Linked DNA regions of Tamandua tetradactyla. The protein of the gene in region 1 interacts with the protein of each later gene in a pairwise test. Links are inferred from orthologs where the notes say so. Each region holds a gene or a part of one and is shown on either strand. Other genes may lie near its edges.

The links.
Region 2: the proteins of KRT40 (region 1) and DLGAP2 interact in a two-hybrid assay, tested with the Homo sapiens proteins (2 studies listed by BioGRID). The link is inferred for Tamandua tetradactyla from reciprocal best matches to the Homo sapiens genes KRT40 and DLGAP2.
Region 3: the proteins of KRT40 (region 1) and SHFL interact in binary tests that used the Homo sapiens proteins (3 or more experiments, as listed by UniProt). The two-hybrid records come from large-scale screens. The link is inferred for Tamandua tetradactyla from reciprocal best matches to the Homo sapiens genes KRT40 and SHFL.

The regions. Positions count from the first base shown.
Region 1 is NC_135332.1:26,434,155-26,440,989, forward strand, and holds the start of KRT40 (keratin, type I cytoskeletal 40), read left to right. Parts: upstream 1-2,277; coding exon 2,278-2,724; intron 2,725-3,419; coding exon 3,420-3,502; intron 3,503-3,755; coding exon 3,756-3,912; intron 3,913-4,710; coding exon 4,711-4,872; intron 4,873-4,951; coding exon 4,952-5,077; intron 5,078-6,369; coding exon 6,370-6,590; intron 6,591-6,835. UniProt on the Homo sapiens protein: May play a role in late hair differentiation.
Region 2 is NC_135329.1:41,809,405-41,816,239, forward strand, and holds the start of DLGAP2 (disks large-associated protein 2), read right to left. Parts: upstream 4,183-6,835; 5' UTR 4,020-4,182; intron 1-4,019.
Region 3 is NC_135337.1:91,633,630-91,640,464, forward strand, and holds SHFL (shiftless antiviral inhibitor of ribosomal frameshifting protein), read right to left. Parts: upstream 4,537-6,835; 5' UTR 4,426-4,536; coding exon 4,405-4,425; intron 3,910-4,404; coding exon 3,786-3,909; intron 3,578-3,785; coding exon 3,528-3,577; intron 2,266-3,527; coding exon 2,227-2,265; intron 1,992-2,226; coding exon 1,842-1,991; intron 1,329-1,841; coding exon 1,225-1,328; intron 1,135-1,224; coding exon 980-1,134; intron 658-979; coding exon 422-657; downstream 1-421. Other genes in the region: ANGPTL6 (angiopoietin-related protein 6), read left to right, coding at 1-184.

The DNA.
Region 1 (6,835 bases):
AATGTCCCTTCCTCTGAGGATGATATACTATAAAAACAATTCTGGGCAATTTCCTTGTAAGCTAAGAATGATAGCTACAGGCCATCACACAACACTGCATTAACTAATCAAAGCCAAAATAAACAGCCCTTCTTGGTGTTTATATACAATAACAGTAATCAACATTTTGCAAATAGAAATTACGTTGAGACAAAAGGAAATGTCTTACTTTACCTGCGACTTGAAAATAATGACACATTGCTGCATTTTAATTAACTGGATACACTGATGGACAAGCAAGTCCTAGATTCTCTTCCAGGATATTTCTCTTCTGACTCATCAGAGTACTATGGGTTTGTAATTTTTCTTCAGATCATGTTTTTTGTTTCATATATGTAACTTTATTAACACCTACATTTGTATTGTGGCAAAATAAACATAACATCTACCATTTTAAAGTATACAATTCCATGACATTAAGTACATGCACAACCATCACAGATTGTGAATTATCCAGATCACAGATTGTGAATTATCCAGACCAGAACTTTTTCTGCTCTAATAAGGTCTTGAATTTTTTAACTCATCTCATTTTCAGAACAGCATCAAAATATTATGAGGTATATAAGAATTTTCTTTTTTATTTTTATTTCTTTTCTAGTAGTAATGAAAATGTTCTAAATTTGATCATGGGGATGTATGCCCAACTATGTGATTATATCGTAAGCCAGTGATTGAATACTTCAGATGGTTTCTACAGTGTGTAAATATATCTCAATAAAATTGCACTAAAAAATATTATGAGGTACTCTAAGAATGTTTGCATAGGTGTTGAAATGTAAAGAGAATCACTAAAATCAAATACAACTTTGTTCGATGAAGAGTAAGTCCTAACAGACTATTTAAATCCATTATTCACAGTCTCCTGTTTTTGTTTTGTTTTTGTTTTTGCATCATCAGATATCTAGGAAGCAAGATTTAGAGTTAGAAAAAAATGAATTTGTCCTGGATTATGAATTTTTTTTTTCTTATAAGGCTTTTTTCTTGTAAGGATCTCAAAGATTCTGGAGGCAATTTGCTCTGTGTTACCTCTGAAAATGAAAGAAATACCGCAGTTAAAGCCAAGCAAAGTGGGATAGATAAAGCTTCAAAGTGGAGGTGAGATTAAAAAGAGAATCAAAAAAAGTTATATCTCAAGTCCCTATCCCTTAGAGACTCCATCCACGAGGGATTCATCATGAAACCGACAACATAAAATTTTTATTCCCAAGTTCCAGTATTTTTAATTTTCATTAAATTGAGGCCTTTGAAAAAAATAAATAAGAGAAAGCAGATTCCATATCAGAAGAAACGTTTCCTGTAGCTTTCTTGCCCATATTCTAAGCGCAATCATTGAAGATTTCCCAAGCACCTAAAAGATAGTAACTTAGAATTTATATTTCACTCTTATCAGAAGTGCCTAAGTAACCTACAGGTATTTCCAAGGTAAAATAATAATAATAATAGTTCCCCTGATCTAAAAAATGAGACATATAGAATGTACAGAAAAGGCAAGTTCCAACAAATCAAGATTTATAACTTCAGTTCCAGATAATCAATTTATATTTTGGCCTACAGGGCACAAATTATGCCTAACAATTAGGCAATGTGATCTTTCAATTTTCACAGAGAGCGATATGGTTAACACACACACACACACACACGTACACATACACACTTCACACAAGTGCATGCCTCACTTCTCTACCATGCAAGCACGTATGCCAATTCAAGATTGCAAAAAGCATTACAAAAATGGCTAATCACAATGAATATTTTAATATTGGTGGCACAAACAAATAAATGGCATTTAATGAGTTGCAATATTAATTTTAAGAGAGAAACAAATTTTAAATGAACATGATCAAAATCCATTGGAATATTTTCCTTATTTAAATCAGTTACAAATTGGCCAAATTTTCTTTCTTTCCTTATTCTGTCAAAAGGATAGTGCTCCTGTGCAGATTTTCTGCAACCAAGTATTTTATCCTACTAGCACATGGAAACAGTATAAGTTCTGATTTAGTAACCTGAAGTTAACCTTCTTTTATGAGGCATAAAACTCTTCCTCAGTAAATAAACAAGACTAATGAAATGTTCTTAGGAAAACTAGCACAAACAGTGATAAAGAAAACATCTGGTGAGACCTGTAAATACCCATTTTGTGGGGGACATATAAAAGTCTCAGAAAGGAAGGAGACTTCTGGAGTCAGGTCACTTGGGTTTTGCAAATACTGTCTGTTCTTCATCTCTACTAGGATGACTTCTGACCATGCCCCCACTTGCTGCTCTACTGAACCCTGTCCTAGGGCTTCTGATTTTCCATCTGTTTCAACCTGCTCCGTGGAAACAGCTTGTCTCCCCAAGGTCTACTCCACCTCCAGATGCGAGACCCCTGGCTTCCAGTCCAGGTCTCACCTGCCAACCCATTGCTTCAAGCCATATTACTTTGCTGGGAGTCGTAACAGTCCATGCTTGGTGGGGACCTGTGCTTGGTGTGAGGATGGGGTCTTCAATAGCAATGAGAAGGAGACGATGCAGTTCCTGAATGACAGGCTCGCCAGCTATCTGGAGAAGGTGCACGGCCTGGAAGAGGCCAATGCAGAGCTGGAGGGCAGGATCCGAGAGCAGTGTGACCAGGAAATCCCACTGGTGTGTCCTGATTATCAGCGTTACTTCAACACCATTGAAGATCTCCAGCAAAAGGTTTGGTGTTTTGCTGCCCTAATTCCTCTGCCCTCCCAGTGATTTGCTTCATCTTCAGTCTAGAAGAGGCTGTTTGATGAAAGGAAATCAAAGGAGAGGGAAATTCCAAGAGCTAACGTGGAAAGATCTCTGGGCAAAGAGTCAGGAAACCTCAGCACTAGCCCCAGCACTGCCACTAATTAATTAAGTGACCATAATATAGTCACTTAGCTGTAAGCTTAACTGTTATCTTCTATAAAATGAGAAAAAACTGTAGTATGTCTAAAACTACTTCTGTATTTAACACTGTATATTTATATTTAAACAGAATCTTCACTGTCATCTTTTTAATCAAACGATTTCACCTGGTAGCCTTTTTCTTCTCTTACTGATAAATTTCTATTACCATGGATGGGTATATAGTCGTGAGTGACATAGTTCATCAGAAAAGCAGGCTGAAAGCTATACTTTCTTTTTTTTAACATTATTTTTATTGTGAAAAATAACATATATAGAGAAAAGCAATAAATTGAAAGCTATGCTGTCTTAAAGAGATTGTTAAAAGATACATAATTGCATTGATTTTAAATGAATAGTTAATTGAAAGCTATACTGTCTTAAACAGATTGTTAAAAGATACATAATTTCATTGATTTTAAATGAATGGTTAAGTTTCATGCAAATAATCATTTATTACATAATAACTTACTTCCCAGATCTTGTGCACAAAGGCAGAGAATTCCAGACTTGCCGTACAGCTTGACAACTGCAAACTAGCTGCCGATGACTTTAGGTCAAAGTAAGTTTAATTTGAATTTGAAAATTATTTATGGTTTCTCTGTCTCTCCCTCTCTCACACACACACACATTTAGCACAAATATTTTTAAGCTACTAATGCTCACAAACCTGTAATTTATAGTTATTTGGGATATGAAGTAAATGACAGCATGTGGCTCCCTTGAGTTCACGTGTCATTCACCTGTACGCCCACAGGGCTTGCACAGCACCTGGCAGAGTAAGCATTGGATGTGTCCGTCTTTTGTTATGAAAGGTACGAGGCTGAACTGTCTCTTCACCAGCTGGAAGAGACAGACATCGGTGGCCTACGTAGGATCCTGGACGAGCTGACCCTGTGCAAATCTGACCTGGAGGTGCAGGTGGAGTCCCTGAAGGATGATCTCCTTTGCCTTAAGAAAAACCACGAAGAGGTGAGGAAACTGGCAAGGTGGCTGAAAGACTCTGAGAACAACAAAGTTTAAGATTTCATGTTCAAGTATTCAAGTTGAACTTGGGTAGATGTTGCTTAAGCTGGAACAAAATTACCTGAGGGCACTATGGCTATTCAGCCTGATCATTCCAATTTGTGTCTGAATATGGACAGGGAATAGCTCCTGGCCAGTACCATGTGAAGGGTCCAAACTCTCCTCTTGCCATTGCTTTTTGTGGAGGAAGTAAATGACTTTGTAAATGGCTTTCCTTGGAGGCTTCATGCCAACTCCAGTCTACAAAAATCAGGTTGATGAACACAGGCAATGAAATCTATTTCAAAAAGGGGGATAAAGATTCATGCAATATTTGGATCGGTATTTTCAAATGTTCTGCATTTGTCCCTTATTGATGAAGCTGGAAAATGAAAAACTGATGCAACAAAGTACATTTTACCTCTGAACATTTGCTGATGATAATAATAGTTAACATTTATTGAGCTCTTACTATGTGCCAGGGCTTTTATAAGTTCTTTGTATATATAGTAAACGCTCACATATCTCACACTAACACTTTGGAAAAGACAAAATTATTATACCCATATTGCAGATGAAGATAAAAAGGGACTTCTAAGTGGTGAGAAGAGATTCAACCCAGTCGATTTGAAACTAAATCCCACAATTTTAACTACAACTCCAAAAACCAGAAATGGGCTGCCACTGGGAAAGAATTCTGTCAAACTGATTCCTCACCCCCGCCCCATCAGGCGGTGACATTCTCGACTCCATTTCCACTTTCAGGAGGTCAGCTTGCTTGCTGAACAGCTTGGTGACCGACTCAGTGTGGAGCTGGAACCTGCCCCAGCCATTGACCTCAGCAAGGCCCTGGATGAGATGCGCTGTCAGTATGAAGTGGTGCTCGCCAGCAACCGCAGCGATGTGGAAGAATGGTTCGCTGCTCAGGTGGGCACCTGCAGCAGGAGAATGACAGGCTTCCAGACTCTTGCCTTCTTTGTGTTCTTTAATCACCCCTGTGTTTCAGATGGAGGAGGTGAATCAGCAGCAGCTGTCCAGCGCAGAGCAGCTGCAGAGCTGCCAGACGGAGATCCTGGAACTGAAACGCTCGGCAAGCTCTCTGGAGATTGAGCTCCAAGCCCAGGAGAATCTGGTGCGCAAGGGAAAGTCAGCTTCTGTTTTGTCACAAATGAATCAGGCCCTGAGATAGTCCAGGGAGATACTGTCCTCTCTTCCATAACCCAAGGGAGAAACTCACATTCATATAGCAAAAGTTCTGAATTTCCAGTTTGCAGGGTCTACATTTCCTTGCCTTTCCTGAGCATGCTGTCAGCTAGCAGAAGTCACAGGTCAACAGCTTGTCCTGCCCCAGCAGGACGCCTTGGCTAGCATGGTCTTGGGCATGATCGAGCCAGAGTCAGAGAAAGAGGGAGAGGGCAGGAGCAGAGAAGGGTAGGGGACCTATCAGCCAAAGGCACTCAAGAATTCCAAAAGGTTTTAATGCTTTTTTTGATCTGGGCCAATTTTCCATGTGACCCTCATTTCTAAAGCAAAAACAAAAACAAAAAAATGCTTTTCAAGCTTTTATACTTTCAACGCTATCCTAAAGCCCCTAGGATCCATGCCTCCGCCTGACACTTCACTGCACCCCACCCCAACCAAGCAACCTGAATATCAGGCATCCAAGAAATTACATCAGCCAGTTCCGGTCAGGAACCAGGCATACATCATGTTAGGTGTTATGGAGAGTATCCAGGTGAATAATAGCCAAGCGTCAGTCTCACAAGAGCCGCCATGCTGATCTAATCCTTACAATACTTATGGGGTAGATATCTTCACGAACTCCATGACGCAGACGAGAAAAACTGAGTATCAGATTAAGTGACTACAGGGGATCGTACAACTTTAAGAGGCAGATGTAGAAGCTGAACCAGATGGGTAGACCCCGGAGCCTCGTTTCTTAACCACGCTGTAGTGCAGCCCCACCCTGCCAGGAGCACACACTCAACATTTCCTCTCAAAAACACTGGTCATCCTCCTTAAGCTACAGCAGAACGTTGTAGGTTGTGGCTGTCCTAGAGGTGGTGTGACAGCTAATGTGCAGGTTGTAGAACATGGATTTCAGAGAAACCTGGGCGCAAAAAAACAAAACAATGTTAAACTAAGCTTAACAAGGGAGAGCTTGATAAATTGCCCTTAAAACCTTTCCAGGCACTGTTCTAAGTGCTTTACACATACTAACTCATTTAAACCTCACAATCATCCTATGAGCTAAGTACTTTGCATTCTGCATTTTATTTATACTATAATAATATAATTGAGGCTCAGAGAAGCTAAGTAATTTTCCCAAGGTCACATAACTAGAAAAAGGTGGAGCGGAACAGGGATGCTGGGCCTGGAGGCTGGGCTACCCTGTCCTTTTACCCTTTGAATTTTCTACGGCAGACAGACTCTCTGGAATGCACCGCGGCAGAGACCGAGGCCCGCTACAGCACCCAGCTGGCCCGGGTGCAGGGACTGATTGATAACGTGGAGGCCCAGCTGGCCGAAATCCGCGGTGACCTCCAGCGGCAGAACCACGAGTACCACATGCTGCTGGACACTAAAGCCCGGCTGGAGGGCGAGATCGCCACCTACCAGGGCCTCCTAGAAAAGGAGGACCACAGGCAAGTACCACCCAACCAGCCACGAAATCCCCCAGAGTCACCAAGAGGCTGAAAATGAAGGGCTGATGTAGAGAATCCTGCTTTCCCCCATGCGCAGCCGAGGCCAACACTCCCGAATGCGCCAAGGGATCTTCTTAAAGGAGGGATGCAAAGCTGAGGCTAAGTACGTAACAGTAGAAATGTTCTGAAATAGCCCAAAGTTCTAAAGCAGAGTCAATATCATATATAGCATTTCATGCTGGGTT
Region 2 (6,835 bases), on another chromosome or scaffold:
CAAAATATTTTTGTCATGAATACATGTGAAATTACTATCTCGGTTTTTTAAACAGAAATATCTGGAACACAATAAGATCTATTAAAAAGTTGGCAAGTGGCTAGGAATATGGTTATATAATCAAAAATATCTACCAGGTAAAACTCTGGTTTAGCATAATTTTTAACTGCATAGAATGTTTTGTCCTCTAATTTCTTGTTCGGTTGTCTTTAATTCTTTTATAATGAACACTGTGTCAATGCTCTAAATAAGGGTTCCATTTGGCCAAAATGATGAATCATATTTTTATTGTAATCAATGAATGACCATAGATATCCATTCCAAGAGCCAATAAATAATGCATTTAATTAATTTCCTTTTAAAATATAGAACCAAAGTGTGCATCATTCAACTGCTTGGACAACTGTGAAATTCACAAATTTGTTTTCTCAAATATAGCCAAAAAAGAGTTATAGCATTTCTTCAATTTGATCATGTAGATACATTATGGAAGATAATCTGTTAAAAATTTAAATAAATCCTCTAACGATGAAAATAATATAAGAACTCTTTAGTTTCAGAATTGGTCATGTTCTGAGCACATGAAATCCAATGTGATTTAAATTCCGTGAAGTACTTTTGCTTTTAATATTTAATTCAGAATTTCTACCAATTTCAAAAATGACATAGAAACCAAAAGAAGGAAAAGCAATAGATTGCCATAGAGCTTATATTTAAGTCATTGAGGAGAAATAGTGCAATGTAATCTGAATTCTATAAAAATGAAAAAGAACTATTGTTAGTAATCAATCTAAATCACAAGTAGCCTAAGACATACAAGGATACTTAGTAATTATGTGTTTATTTCTGGCTCAAGCAGTACTACATTTTTAAAACAATTGCACTATAAGTAAAAAGTCTTTTTGGAAGAAAGGGAAATAAATGTGTGACAATATTAAAAGTTGACATAGAATGTGTATAAAGAAAATTAACTTCATTGTCAGAAAACTTTAATTTAATCATTACAACACTGAATTATTTGATGCAGTACTCATTTTGCATACTAAGCCTACTCTTTAATTTAAAAATGTAACAATATAAATTTGAATGATAGGTTAATAGAGTAAGTCATTCAATGCTTGATTTCTTAAGAATATAGAGGAATATATGAACGTGTTAATAAAAAGAAGGTATGGTTTACAGACAGATGCAAAGTACGACTCCCTTAGTAGGTTATCATTGAGCAATAAAACTCACATTTACTGAGCTCAAGACATTTGATGAGATGTCTGAAGTGATGGTAGAAAGAATAGTGTAATTTAGGGTATGACTATTTTCTTTCATTAGGTCCATAATTCTCATAGCCCAGATGTGCTTGAACAGACAGCATTCCCTACAGTCTGCTAGCCATGTTGCCAGATATGGGGTATAAAATATTCTAATTTGTTCTCTTCCAAGCAATGAAAAAGTCACACCATCTAAAAGGAAATGGTACACACTCTACAATTACTATTACAGCCAGAGCTGTGAGTCACCCAGCTGCCTGCACAAGACAATTTGGCTACTGGAAAATCCTGATTAATGACATTTTTTTTAAACACCAGAGTAACAACTTGACCTGCCAAAACTGCCATTTATTTTCACCATGTTTGCCTTGGTTATCTATTACCTTTCAAGGAGAATATGAAGGAAGAAATGAAAATTGTGTTGTAATGTATTTTAACTTCAAATCTAACTGTTGTTCTTTCCAGTCAGGGAAAGAGTTTCTCAGAATTATGTCAGCTTTGAGACATGTGAAAGAGTCCTTACAAATGTGTACTCCTTCAAGCTATGTTGAGATGTTAAATTATTTTCTAATCACAAATATAATTAATTCGCCACCTACAAATAAGTGTTTTTTAAATCATAGTCTAAGAAATCAGATATACAGTTCCACTGTGATACAGGGGGAGCTGTATGAAGGCCACCAAGGAAGTATTTCCTCAAGGAAGTCCACTTCTTAAGTGCCTAATCGTGGGTTTCGCCTACCTCTAAGACCCGAAATGACAGAGGAGGGGGGAAAAAAGCAGTTGTGCTTTACATTTCGAGCTCTAAAACCACCCATAGTACATACTGGCAGAGTTAAAAGACACAGAGATTGAATTCAATGCCGATCGCTTGATTTTTAATCAATACAAGACAAGCCCCCACTAATAAATCACGAATTCCTAATTCGAAGCCTTTGCCTGAATCGCCTTCTATTTCAGAGACGCAACATACAGGCAGCTGGAATAAAATTACCTAAGAAGTGCGGAAGAGCCAAAAGGAAGAGTAGATGCTTTTCAGTTTCCGATGGCAAATAAACCAGCCAACACGTTCTCTACTCCCCGCTCTCCCCGCATTCTCTTTCCCTCACTCTCCACCTGCAAATCTCTTCTGCTCTCCTCTCTAAAGCTCTTTGCCCTTTCGCTCCTCTTCTCATCTCCTTCAACTCTTGTCTTTAAGAGTCCGCCCCTCCCCATCTCAGCACCCCAAGTCCAGTTTGCTCCAAGCCTCTCAGTACCGCACGCCCGGTGCAAGGACGGGTGGGGTGGGGGTGTGGAGAGACGCCCTCATCCCAAAGCAGGCACACCTGGCCGCGCTAGGCAGCGCGCCGGTCCCTGCCGCCCCCCACCCCCTCAGCGTGCCAGGGCTGTAATAATTACATCCTCATTATTTCTCCAGCAAACGTTAGCGAACAAGCCTGGAGAACAGCAACAGCCGCGGCCGGGGGAGGCTTAGTTACAAAATCCTGCACTGGGTAGCACCTCGCATAGCAACCATCCTTAAAAAAGCCCCCGTGCTCCTCGCACACACTTGGAAAGCGGGGCGGCTGCCACCCCCTCCAGGCGTGCACACCCGCGCGCAGCCCCTCCGCCCTCCCACCCCACCCCACCTCCTCGCGGAAACCGCTGCAACCCCGGCAGAAATCGCCCCCTGTCTCCCCCTCCTCCCCGCCCCACGACGACCACACGCGCAGCCTGGGCTCCCCCAGCACGTTTCATTCATTCTCAATTCCCGTCGGCGTTTTCCCACCTCAGCAATGGCAAGGATGTGGAAAGCAGGGGGTGGAAAGGGGGGGCGGATCTGTGTGGGGTAGGGAATTTTTTTTTTTTTATTTGAAATGCAGTTTGCTAACCTCCATCCCCACCCCACCCCCATACCCTCCAAGCTACCACCAGCGGTTTGAAGCCCCCTCGCTAGCCAGCTGTTCCTAGGTCTCGCCTGTTCCCTCCACCCCGCAGCTGGGAATTTCACACCTCAGGCAGCGCCGGGTTCCCTGCGTCCGGCTCGTTCCACACTATGGAGCCCAGGGTCCAGGAGACCCTCGCGCCATCACCAGCTACGTGCGCAGCCAGATCGAGTCTGGACCCGTGACGGGGGGTGCGGAATGAAGCTTCCCCTGTCCCCAGGGCCTGAAACCCTCCTCCCCCAGGGACTCCCGAGGTGCTTGGTGGCCGCCAGGCTGCCCTTCGGGGTCCTACTGCTCCCCGACACTCGCAGCGCTCGCTCCTGCAGCCCAGGACTCCTGGGACCCGCGGAGGAGACCCCCCGCGTGGCATCGGCGGACCCACGCTGCCCGGCCGCTCCGGGGTCTCCCGGGCTCAACTCCAGTCCCAGAGGGTTCGTGCGAGGCGGAGTGGGCAGCACATCCCTAATCCAGCCCGGGCGCCCCTGAGCCGCCACCCCCAGAAGGGGCAAAAGACGCCCACCGGCTCCCTCCCGAACCTCCGCACACCGCCCCCACTTCCCCGCGCCTAAGGCTCGCCACGATAGGTTTTCCAAGAGTCCTTGAGACTTTGCAGCTCCCAAGCTACACCAAACTGTGCCTGCTCCCGGTGCAAACTCTCAACGTGCCCAAGACGGTGACCAGAAGCCGGCGACCCGAGCACCATCGAACCCAGGGTGCTGCGCAAACCACCTCCTTGTGCCTCGACGGCACTCCCCAGCCCTGGCTACTTTCTCCCCATTTCCCCTCTTCCTAGGTTCCGAGGGCCCCTCCAGATGAATGAGATTCGTACCTTTCTCAGCGCTGACATTCTCAGGCATTACTATTTCAGCAGGTTCTAGGTGACATGGTGAGGTGGCTGACCCCCTCAAGCCAGGTAAGCCGGGAAACGGCGCGCGGCCGCGGGAAGGTAACGCTGCTGGCTCGGGGCTGGAGACCCCGCGGTGCGGGCGCTGAGCGGCGTCCGGCTCCGCTACCGCTGCCGCCGCGCTGTCCAAGCCGCACTCCGAACCTCGCGCACGGGTTCTCACGGTCGGCGCCTGCGCACACTCGCGCCCGGAGAGGCACCGGCGCACTGGGGGGGCCGGCCCGCGCTGGGCTCCATCTAGAGAAGGTCCGGAGTCATTCGCTCTCCTAGCTTTGAAACTGTAGCGCAAAAGCTGCGGCTTCGCTCCCCCAACCTGATTGGGCTACTGAGCATGCCCGGTCCTAGCGCGGAAACCCCCAGAGGAGCGTTCAAATAGGAGTTTTTTGCCGGAGCTACCGAATGGAAAGCGGCAGCGCTTCCAATTCAACCAACTGTTGCACAAGGAAGCGGGAAGGGTCACTCGGGGACAGAGAGGGAAGAGGGAAGAGGCGGCTCCCGAGAAGAAGCCACCAGCGCTGGTCGAACAGATTCAACCGCTAGAAGCACTAACGAATTTTAAAAGCGCTTTGAAAGTTAGCTCTAAAATTCTGTAAACGTACACCTCGGCCCTTGGAAAGATTCATCCTACTCTGGACTAAGATAAGTGACACGCTGGGCGCATTCATATGAGGAAATAATTTATACTTTAAAGTCTGCTCGATACCCAAGATGCCCACTTCGTCGAGAGCGTAGAGGAGCACTGAAAACATAGGAGAAGGCATTTACTTGCAAAGGAATTTCACTCTAAAGGTATTGCAGGTGCTATAACATTCTTCTATTGTGAATGTAATAAAACTTAGCCTCCCACTATTTCCACGTGCGAACTTTCCAGTGCATGGTATTTCCAAGTGGGGTCTTCCCAAGAAAGAAGGACACCATGACATTCCCAAACTCCATACGCATTCATTCTTTTTTAATAAACGTGGGTTGAAAGACAACACACCCATCAGATGGAATCCTGCCGCCTTACTGCTTTGATTATCGGCCTCATACAGATGACTCAAGCCAAGGAAAAAGGAAGAATTAATTCAGTAGAAGTTGTGTTAATAACCTGCGGTGATCTGGAAAACTCAGCAACATTGAACATATTTTGATAGAGCCTAATTAAATATATGGAAATATGCTTCCAAGATCTGACAGCGATAAGAAAAGAAAATTATATATTATTATATAGTGATAACCAGAGACCTATTTTTTTTAGTTCCTGGCTCTATCGCCTGATCTTGAGCAAGTCTCTTAGCACAATTTTTAATACAGATATTACAATGGATTTTCCATATCTCTGAGTTATTGTGAAGTTTAAATGAGATACAAGGTGTGAATCCATAAAAAAGTAAAAATACCTAGGTGAGAGTTTATAGAAAAATAATGGATAGGGGTTAGAGTAGGAAAGTGAATCAGATGATCAAAGATATTTGAAACAAGATAAACCAATCGTTTCCAAAGTTACAAGATCTTCAAAGAAAAACACTGTTGTATAAGATTTCTTCATATAATGAACACTCAAATATTAACCAATTGCAATTTATTTTCAAAACAAAGATCAAATACTGGGAGATACAAAGATGAATCTTGTGCTGAATTTGACCACAATCTAACTTCTCCCAAGTGTTTCTTTAAAACAACTTTCAATTCATCTCCACTTTTGGAAACAGATTGATGAATTGTGAGTGCCAAACCTCAACCAAAACTCTAAATTCTGGAAACGACTTTTTAAAATTGTAAATCCCTTTACTTTCCTCCTCCCCATACTTGTCCCCATCCATCTTTTTTTATTTTAATTTATTTATTCACTCATACATCAGCAACCACAAAAATGTATTGAATGCCTATCATATGCTCTCAATATTTATGTAAGATAGAAACCGAGAAACAGTCACTGGCCTTATGGAGCTTACAGTCTAAAAAGGGAGTCATTTTAAAATACTGCATAAGTGACATATATTTACAAATCCTTCTCTAAAAGAAAAGTACAGGGTGGTGTGGAGAATGTTAAAAGGACAATTATTTTAGCTTACAATATTAGGAAAGAACTCTTTGAGGAAGTCATATTTAAGTTAAATCCTTATTTTTCTTTAGGTTCCCCATGAGCAGATCCTGAGACATGGATTTGGGTTCAAGTAGTTTATTTGGGAGGTTGATTTCCAGGAACTGGAGAGTTGAAGTAGGAAAACAGAGTCGGGAAGGAGTGAAAGCTCATAAAGTGTGCATTAATAAGCTGGTTACTGTTGTGGGCAACTGGAGCTCAGTCCTGCTGGGTATCTTCTAAGAATGGTACAGAATGCACCTCAGAACTGCCTGCCTGAGCATTGGAAGGCTGGACATTTTTCAGCTAAATTACAGTCTCAATGATTGAGAGTTATTTCTCCTTCCTCCGTGGCCTCTGCCTACCCTGTTCCCCTGTGTTGAGAAAATTCCAAGGCTTCAGAGAAAGCTGAGAGACAGAAAATCTTGGAGACCTAGTAGGTGCTTGAAGTGGGAAGCAGACAAATGCAAGGAACTGTACACCATAGCTGCAGTTGAAGTCAGAGGTCAGGCATCTGGTATAGACCTAAAGTAGCAATAAGATTTAAGCAAGAAAGGAAAAGGAGTGGGAATGGAGAAAGACTGCTTCAAGTGGAAGGAAGAGCAGGTTTGAAGATCCTGGGAGAGGAAAGGACTTCGTGCACTTTTTCCCCCGAATGGCTAGAATAACTGGAACA
Region 3 (6,835 bases), on another chromosome or scaffold:
TGCCCTGTACCAGCGGGGAGGCTGGTGGTACCACGCCTGTGCCCATTCCAACCTCAATGGCGTGTGGCATCGTGGGGGCCACTACCGCAGCCGCTACCAGGACGGTGTCTACTGGGCGGAGTTTCGTGGTGGGGCATACTCTCTCAAGAAAGCTGCCATGCTGATCCGGCCGCTGAGGTCATGACTGTGTCCACCTGTCCCCAAAGCTGTCCTGGCCATCCCTCTTTGGTGGCTCAACATAGCCGTGTCCTGGGGACCTCTTACTCAAAGCCCTGCAAAACAGGACCCCAAAATCCCCATCCTCACCCCCATCAACCTCTCAGACCCAAGGGCACTTTATATCTCAATTTGAGCTCAAATTTTATGACAACACAAAGTGGCCACAGAACGTGTCTGGTTTGCTGTCTGCACTGGCCAGGGCTCACGCCCCGTGCCCGCCCTTCTCCTCCTCCTCTCCCTGCCCTTCCTCCTCTTCCTCCTCTTCCAGGTCCTCCAGGATGATGCTGTCCAGGTCCTCCAGGAGACTCCCCTGGCTCAGGCACGTGGCCACTGTGGAGCCACTGCTGATGTGGGGGTCGCTGGGGTAGAGGACCTTGGGGAGGCGGTTTTGCTTCCGGCTCTTGGGGTGCGCGCAGGATGTCCCGGGCATGTGGGGCTCTGGGGAGGGAGAGGTGATGAGGCCCCATGGGGGTCCGAAGAGACCCAGGGGACAGGGGCACAGAGGCCATGGGGACAGTGGGCCACTCTGTGCCACCACGGGGCCTCCCAGTGAGACCCCGAGAGGCGGGCGGTGGGAGGGGTGGAAGCCCCGGACCCCGGGACCTGGGGAGAGAGGAGGAAGCAACAGGTGGAGACCCCAGCGCTGAGAGCCACAGTGGGGGCGGGGGGACATCACGGGGGGGGGGTGCCCCCGCCGCTGAGCTGGCCCTGGTGGGGTGGGGGGAAGGGAGGGAGGCCACAGAAGGCGCCAGGCCCTCACCTCGCCGGTTGTAGCAATCGGCCGCCGAGCAGGAATGCGTGTGGCTGCTACGGCGCACCATGTCCCGGTCCCAACGTGGGGGGAGAATCCGCGTCGGATACACGGGGAAGCCGCACCCGTAGCAGGGCGACGGGGACCCCATCTGTGCCCAGCCCCTGGGGGTGGCAGGGCTGTGAGGGTCAGGGGGCCACGGGGCGGGGGGCGGGGCTGGGGGGGAACAGGGCGGGGGGGGGCGGCACCCTCACCGGAAGTTGTGCCGGCACTTGGGGCAGTGGAACTCGGCCAGGCCCCACATCTTGTCCTCCGGCACCGGCTTGTAGCGCTTCTTGCATTTCTTGCACCGGGACAGCTGGGGGGGGGGGGGGGGCGGGGGGGCGTGGGGAGCGGGCTGGCTGTCACCCAGGCGGGGTCCCGAGCTGGGCCCGAACTGGCCACAAGGGGAGTAGTTATACCAGGGAGACAGACCAGCCTTACAGATCAGGGCTCCTCTCTCCAGAGGTCCATCCTTAAGCTTTTGTGGCTTAAATTGTCAGGGGGCCCAGAGGTCAGATGTGGGGTTGTGGTTTTGGGGTAAAGCTTGATTTGCGGGGGGGGGGGGGGGGGGGGGAGGGGGCGGGGCGCAGCCTCCAACTGTGCAATTCGGGGTTCAGGCTCTGGGGCTTCTCCAATTAAAAGCTCATAAGTCCAGCTCCGGGTTAGTGATTTAGGGCCGAGGTGGACCTTGGAGGTCAGGGGTCAGGGGTCAGGGGTCAGGAGCCAGGCTCTCCGACATGGATGTCCTCGGGTCAGAGGGCCAGGCGCCGAGGATGGGGGCCGGGAGCCAAGTTCGGGAGCGAGTCAAGGTCGCGAGTCCGGGTCTCACCTGCTTGCGCTCGGGCACGCGACGCCACCAGACATGGTCGCAGCTGGAGCAGGCGAACTGGTGGTCCACGGCCGGGATGAGGTCCTCCTGCGCCCGCTGGAACATGCGCAGGTTGGCTACCGTCAGCGGCAGCAGGGACGTCGCCACCTCCTGCGGAATTGGGGGGGGACGGAGGCGGGGGGGTCACCTCTCCTCCCTCTGCAGGGGTCACCCCTCCCCTGACCACTGTCTTCTGCCCTCGTGACCGACTTCACTCCTCCTTCCCCCAGACACCTCCTCACAGCAGAGGCTGCTCCTCCACCCCTCCCCAGGGCCCCCCTCCGCCTCGTCCGCCATGGGTGCCCCCACACATCCCCCCCAAGACCTGCGCCAGGTGCCGACTCACCTTAATGTCCTGGTCCTGCTTCATGTCCTCAGGGGGGTCCTGGGTAGAGAAATGAGGAGCTCCTACAATTGGGGTTCCCGGAGCAGGGGTGGTGGGGGAAGGCGGGGGAGGAGGGCCCCAGCCCAGCATGAAGATGGGGGTGCCCCCGACTCACGACGAGCAACATCCACTTGCACCTCCATTAGTTAGAGGTGTGCACACCTGTTATCCCCATGGCTCAGATGGAGAAACTGAGGCCAAGAACTAGAGACCCCGCGCTCCCACCCTGCCCACCAACACCATCTTCCACTGTGAGTGCCGCCTCCCCAGCCACACCCTGGCTGGCCCGGAGACAGGTCCCCCTCCTTGCAGCAGCCTTGCAAAGCCCGGGATTCCCAGAGCCGCAGGTTCGAATCCCGGCTCCACCACTTCCAGCTGCGGGCCGTGGTTCCTTAAGTTGCATCTCAGAGCTCAGACTCTGCCTCCAGGTGGGCAGGGTTCGAATCCCAGCTGCCACCCACTCGCCCATCTGCCTGGCAACTGACGTCATCACTCTGGACCTCAGTTTCCTTGTTTGTGAAATGGGAACAATAAGTAATAGAACCTAACTCCTGGGCTCCGCTGTGAGGCTGAAATAAATCAACACATGTAAGATTCCTCCAGCCCTGCCACATGGGAAGTGCTAATCCCGGTGCCTGGTTTTTATTACAGGTTTATGACTCTACGCTGTGCCTTTTAGGCTGGTAAAATCCAGTCTACCAACCACCAAAGCCCTGTTTCGAAAAGGCAAAGCAGCTGCGTGCTTCAAAGCCTTTCATCCATCCATCCATCCATTCATTCATTCAAAACACGAGCTCCCCGGCCGCCTCACCTCCCCCATCTCCTGCTCACCCCAGTCTTTCCAGGAATGAATGCCCCTCTCAGTTTCCTTTCTCACACCATCCTTCTTTCCGGACGCGATCCGTCCCCTCCTCTTTGCAGGGCTCACTGCTTGCCATCCTTTAAGACGGGGCATCACCTCCTCCAGGAAGCCTTCCCTGACTTCTCACAACCCCCCACCCCAGGATGGCATTAATTCTGGCTCCTGTCACTGCCTCCCCGTTTTAATCCAATCCGCACATATCGAGCGCCTGCTGTTTGCCAACTCCCTGGCCGGACACAAATACAGAGGTAAATAAGCAAATAAATTTGGACCACGAGTTGTGGACTGGCAGTGCCCAGTTCCTTCTGCTTTGGAGGGGGGGAGCTCTGGGTGGCTGGGCTGGTCCCTCTGCCCTCCCCGCCCCCATTATCCCCGCCTCTGAAGGGAGGGAGCAGATTACCTGGGTCTCCAGGTCACTGCTTAGTTCCTTTCCGTCTTTCTGCTTCACCTCTGGTGGAGACAGCAGGTGTAAGTGAAGGGCCCTTGAAGAGTCTGGGGATGTTTTAGGCCACCCTCCCCCAGACCCCCTGCAGCACAGACCCTCCCCAAGGCTGGGGCCCCCAGCAGGTGATCTCAACGCCTCTTCCCTCCCTCAGTCAGGCCAGGTCCCTCTCGGCGCTTCCTCCACATCACCCAGCCCCCCCCCCAGCCCCCTCACCGTACACGATGGAGCGCCCCACACCGGTGTGGTCGCTGTCGTATTTCCGCATCAGAGCCCCCGCCCTCTCGGAGGAGACCTTCCCATGAAACTTCTCCCGCAGGCGCCGGGAGCTCTTCTCCAGCTTGGAGTGGGGCACGGGGGTGAGGGTGGGGGAGGCTGCGTTGGGGGAGGCGAGGGGCGCTCGCCCCTCCACCAACCCTAGGCAGCGCTCTCCCGCCCTGAACTTGACCCTTGCTTTTGGCCTGGCCGCCCCCCCCCAGCCTCCCCCTCCTTCCACGCACTTCCTGGAAAAATCCAAAGTCCCTACAGGGCACTGGGGGCAGGGGAGGGCGAGGAGCGGCGTCCCGGGTTTAGGAGGGATGCTGGCCAGGGAGTCCCTGGCTCTGAACTCTGACCCCTGACCCTGCAGCCCCCGCTTGACCCCGGGGTGAGGCGCGGCGGTCACTCTCCTTCCTGAGGGGGGAGCGAGGGCCAGCCCGGGGGGGAAGGTCTGGGTTCAGGATGGAGCGGGGGGGGGGGGGGGGTTCCCCGGGAAACTGCGAAGCCCGCCGCGCGCCCCGGCTCCTCCCCCCGGCGACTCTCCGGGTCCCCCGGGGCAGCCGTGGCCGTCTCCTACCTCCACACCTTCCTGGGACATGGCGGCGGCGGCGCGGGGCTCCCCGAGGGTCGGCGCTGCGCGGCTCGGCAGTCCCCCGTTCCTGGCTGCGCTCGGCGGTCCGGATGCCGCGCAGGGCGGGGCGGGGCCTGGGGGCCGGCCCCGCCCTTCTTCCCTGAACCCCTCTTTCGCTTTCGTTTCTCTGGGCTTTGGGGAGGTAGGAGAGGAAATGAGGCACCTGGGCTCTTCCTTGGCTCCGCCCCGGCTCGTGCGCCCCAAACCCGGGCGGGCGCCCTGGACCCGCGCCCTGCGGCGGAGCGCGCGAACCCGGGGCGGGGAGGGGGCCGGTGCGGCCTCTGCAGTCGGTCACATGTGCCCACGCGGCGCGGGCTCCGCGTCTTCACGTCCCTCGTGGGGGCGGGGCCGCATCGCCGGGCCGTGGCGGGGCCCCCGAGCCCCCCCGCCCCCGCTGCGCCCCGTCTCCCCTTCCCCGCCGAGGAACCAGGCCTTGGGATCCCCTTTCCGTTCTGAGCCTCTGAGCTGGCCGGAGCCCTCCTCGCCACCTCAGTTTACCCCTCTGTAAAATGGGGGCGCTGACAGTGGCTACATCCTGGGGGCGGGCAAAGCGGGAGGTCGGGCCTCGAGGGCCTGAGTTAGGGCACTGGGCAGCGCCTCGCAGGTGCCAGGTCCTCAAATGGTCACCCGACTAAGCGCTCGGGGCTCGGAGGAGGGGGTGGGGGGGTGCTTGTTAAAAATTCAAGTGCTCGGTTCTACAGCCCGCTGGTGGGGGAAAGGACTCTGGGGAATCTCCATTGTCACTCTGGAGGTTGGGAAACCTGTGAGCCGGGAGGATTCTAACCCTGCACCTGGAGCCGAAGGAGCCCTAAGGAGAGGCACCGGCCCAGCCCAGCCCAGGGCCCCCCAAAGATAGCTGCTTGGAGGAGGAGGTGCTGGTACAGAGTCCGTGAAGTTTGAGGTCTTCGTTGGGGCTCTGGGCCTCTGTTACAATTGAGAGAAGCAGTTGAGAACCTGGCGCTTTAAGGCAGTTTCTCTGCCAGGACACTAACATTTTGTTCTAGATAGTTCTTGGGGGGGGGGGAGCGGTGATGCCCTGTGCTTTGTAGGATGTTTAGCAGCATCCTTCGTCTCTACTAACTAGATGCCAGAAGCCCCCCCGAACCCCGGTCAACCCAAATGACTACAGAAATCCTCGAGTGTCCCTTGGGTGGGGTGGGTGAATTGCTTTAGGGTAAAAGATGCCAACATTTTTTTTCCTTCAATTTTCTGCACCCCAATCAGTAAAAATGCTGAAACTGAGCCCCATATGAAAGTTTCTTTATTTATAAATTACATGCAAATACAACTCTACCAATAGATTCTGCAGATTGGAAAACAAAAAGCGGTGATTAAAAGATTGGGGTGTTCTAATGTATTCTACGTGAGCCCCGAAGGTTGGTTTGTGGGGTGGTGCACCCCCACTTTGCAGGCTTCTGTAAGTGAAGTGCAAGCAGTTCATGGTCTTTGTGGCTGGAGGGTGGGATTTCAGGTGAAGAGAGGCGCCTGTAGTTGTACTGGGACTTTATCCTGAGGGTAGTGGGAAGTGAGGATGGACCCTGAGACCCATGGACTTCTCCCGTCAGAGTTACCAATTAGTAATCTGTCTCGGTGGAGGGTAAGGTCACAGCCGTGTCCCATCCCCTGAGCAGGGTGGGTACTGGGTGGGCAGGAAACAGGGTCTGATCCAGGCCTGGCTCAAATCAGGTCTGCTAGATTCTAAGAAAGACAGCCGTGACTTTGAGCACCTATTCTGTTCCTAGATGCTGTTCCAGGCATGGTAGATACAGCAGTGAAGAAAACAAAGATCCTGGCCCTTCTGGAGTTGGTGTTCCAGGGCGGGGGACAGGCAAGACACAAATACATAATATGAAGGGGGGTGATAAATCCTAAACTGAAAAAGGAGCTGGAATAAGAGGATGGGGAAATGTAGAAATGGGGGGTGGGGGAGGGTCACAGGAAGTGACATTTGAGGGGAGACCTGAAGGAAGGGAGGGAAGGAGCTATGCGGATATCTGGGAGGAGAAAGTTCTAGATGGGGGAACAGCAAGTGCAAAGGCCCTGAGGTGGGAGCATGGGCCTGTCGTTATCAGTTGTGTTAGTTTTCATTGCTGCGTAACAAATGACCCCCAAGTTTGGTGTCTTAAAACAACAAACATTTATCTGATACAGTTTTTTTTTTTTGAAAAGAATAAGTAAAATCAACTTTACTTGCAGACATAATCTTATATACAGAAACCCTAAAGGAATCCACAAAAAAACTATTAGAGCTGATGAATGAATTCAACAAAGTGAGAGGATATAAGATCAACATACAAAAAGCAATTGTGTTCCTATATGCAGGTAAGGAACAATCTGAAGAGGAAATTAAGAAAACAATTCCATTTATAATAGCATC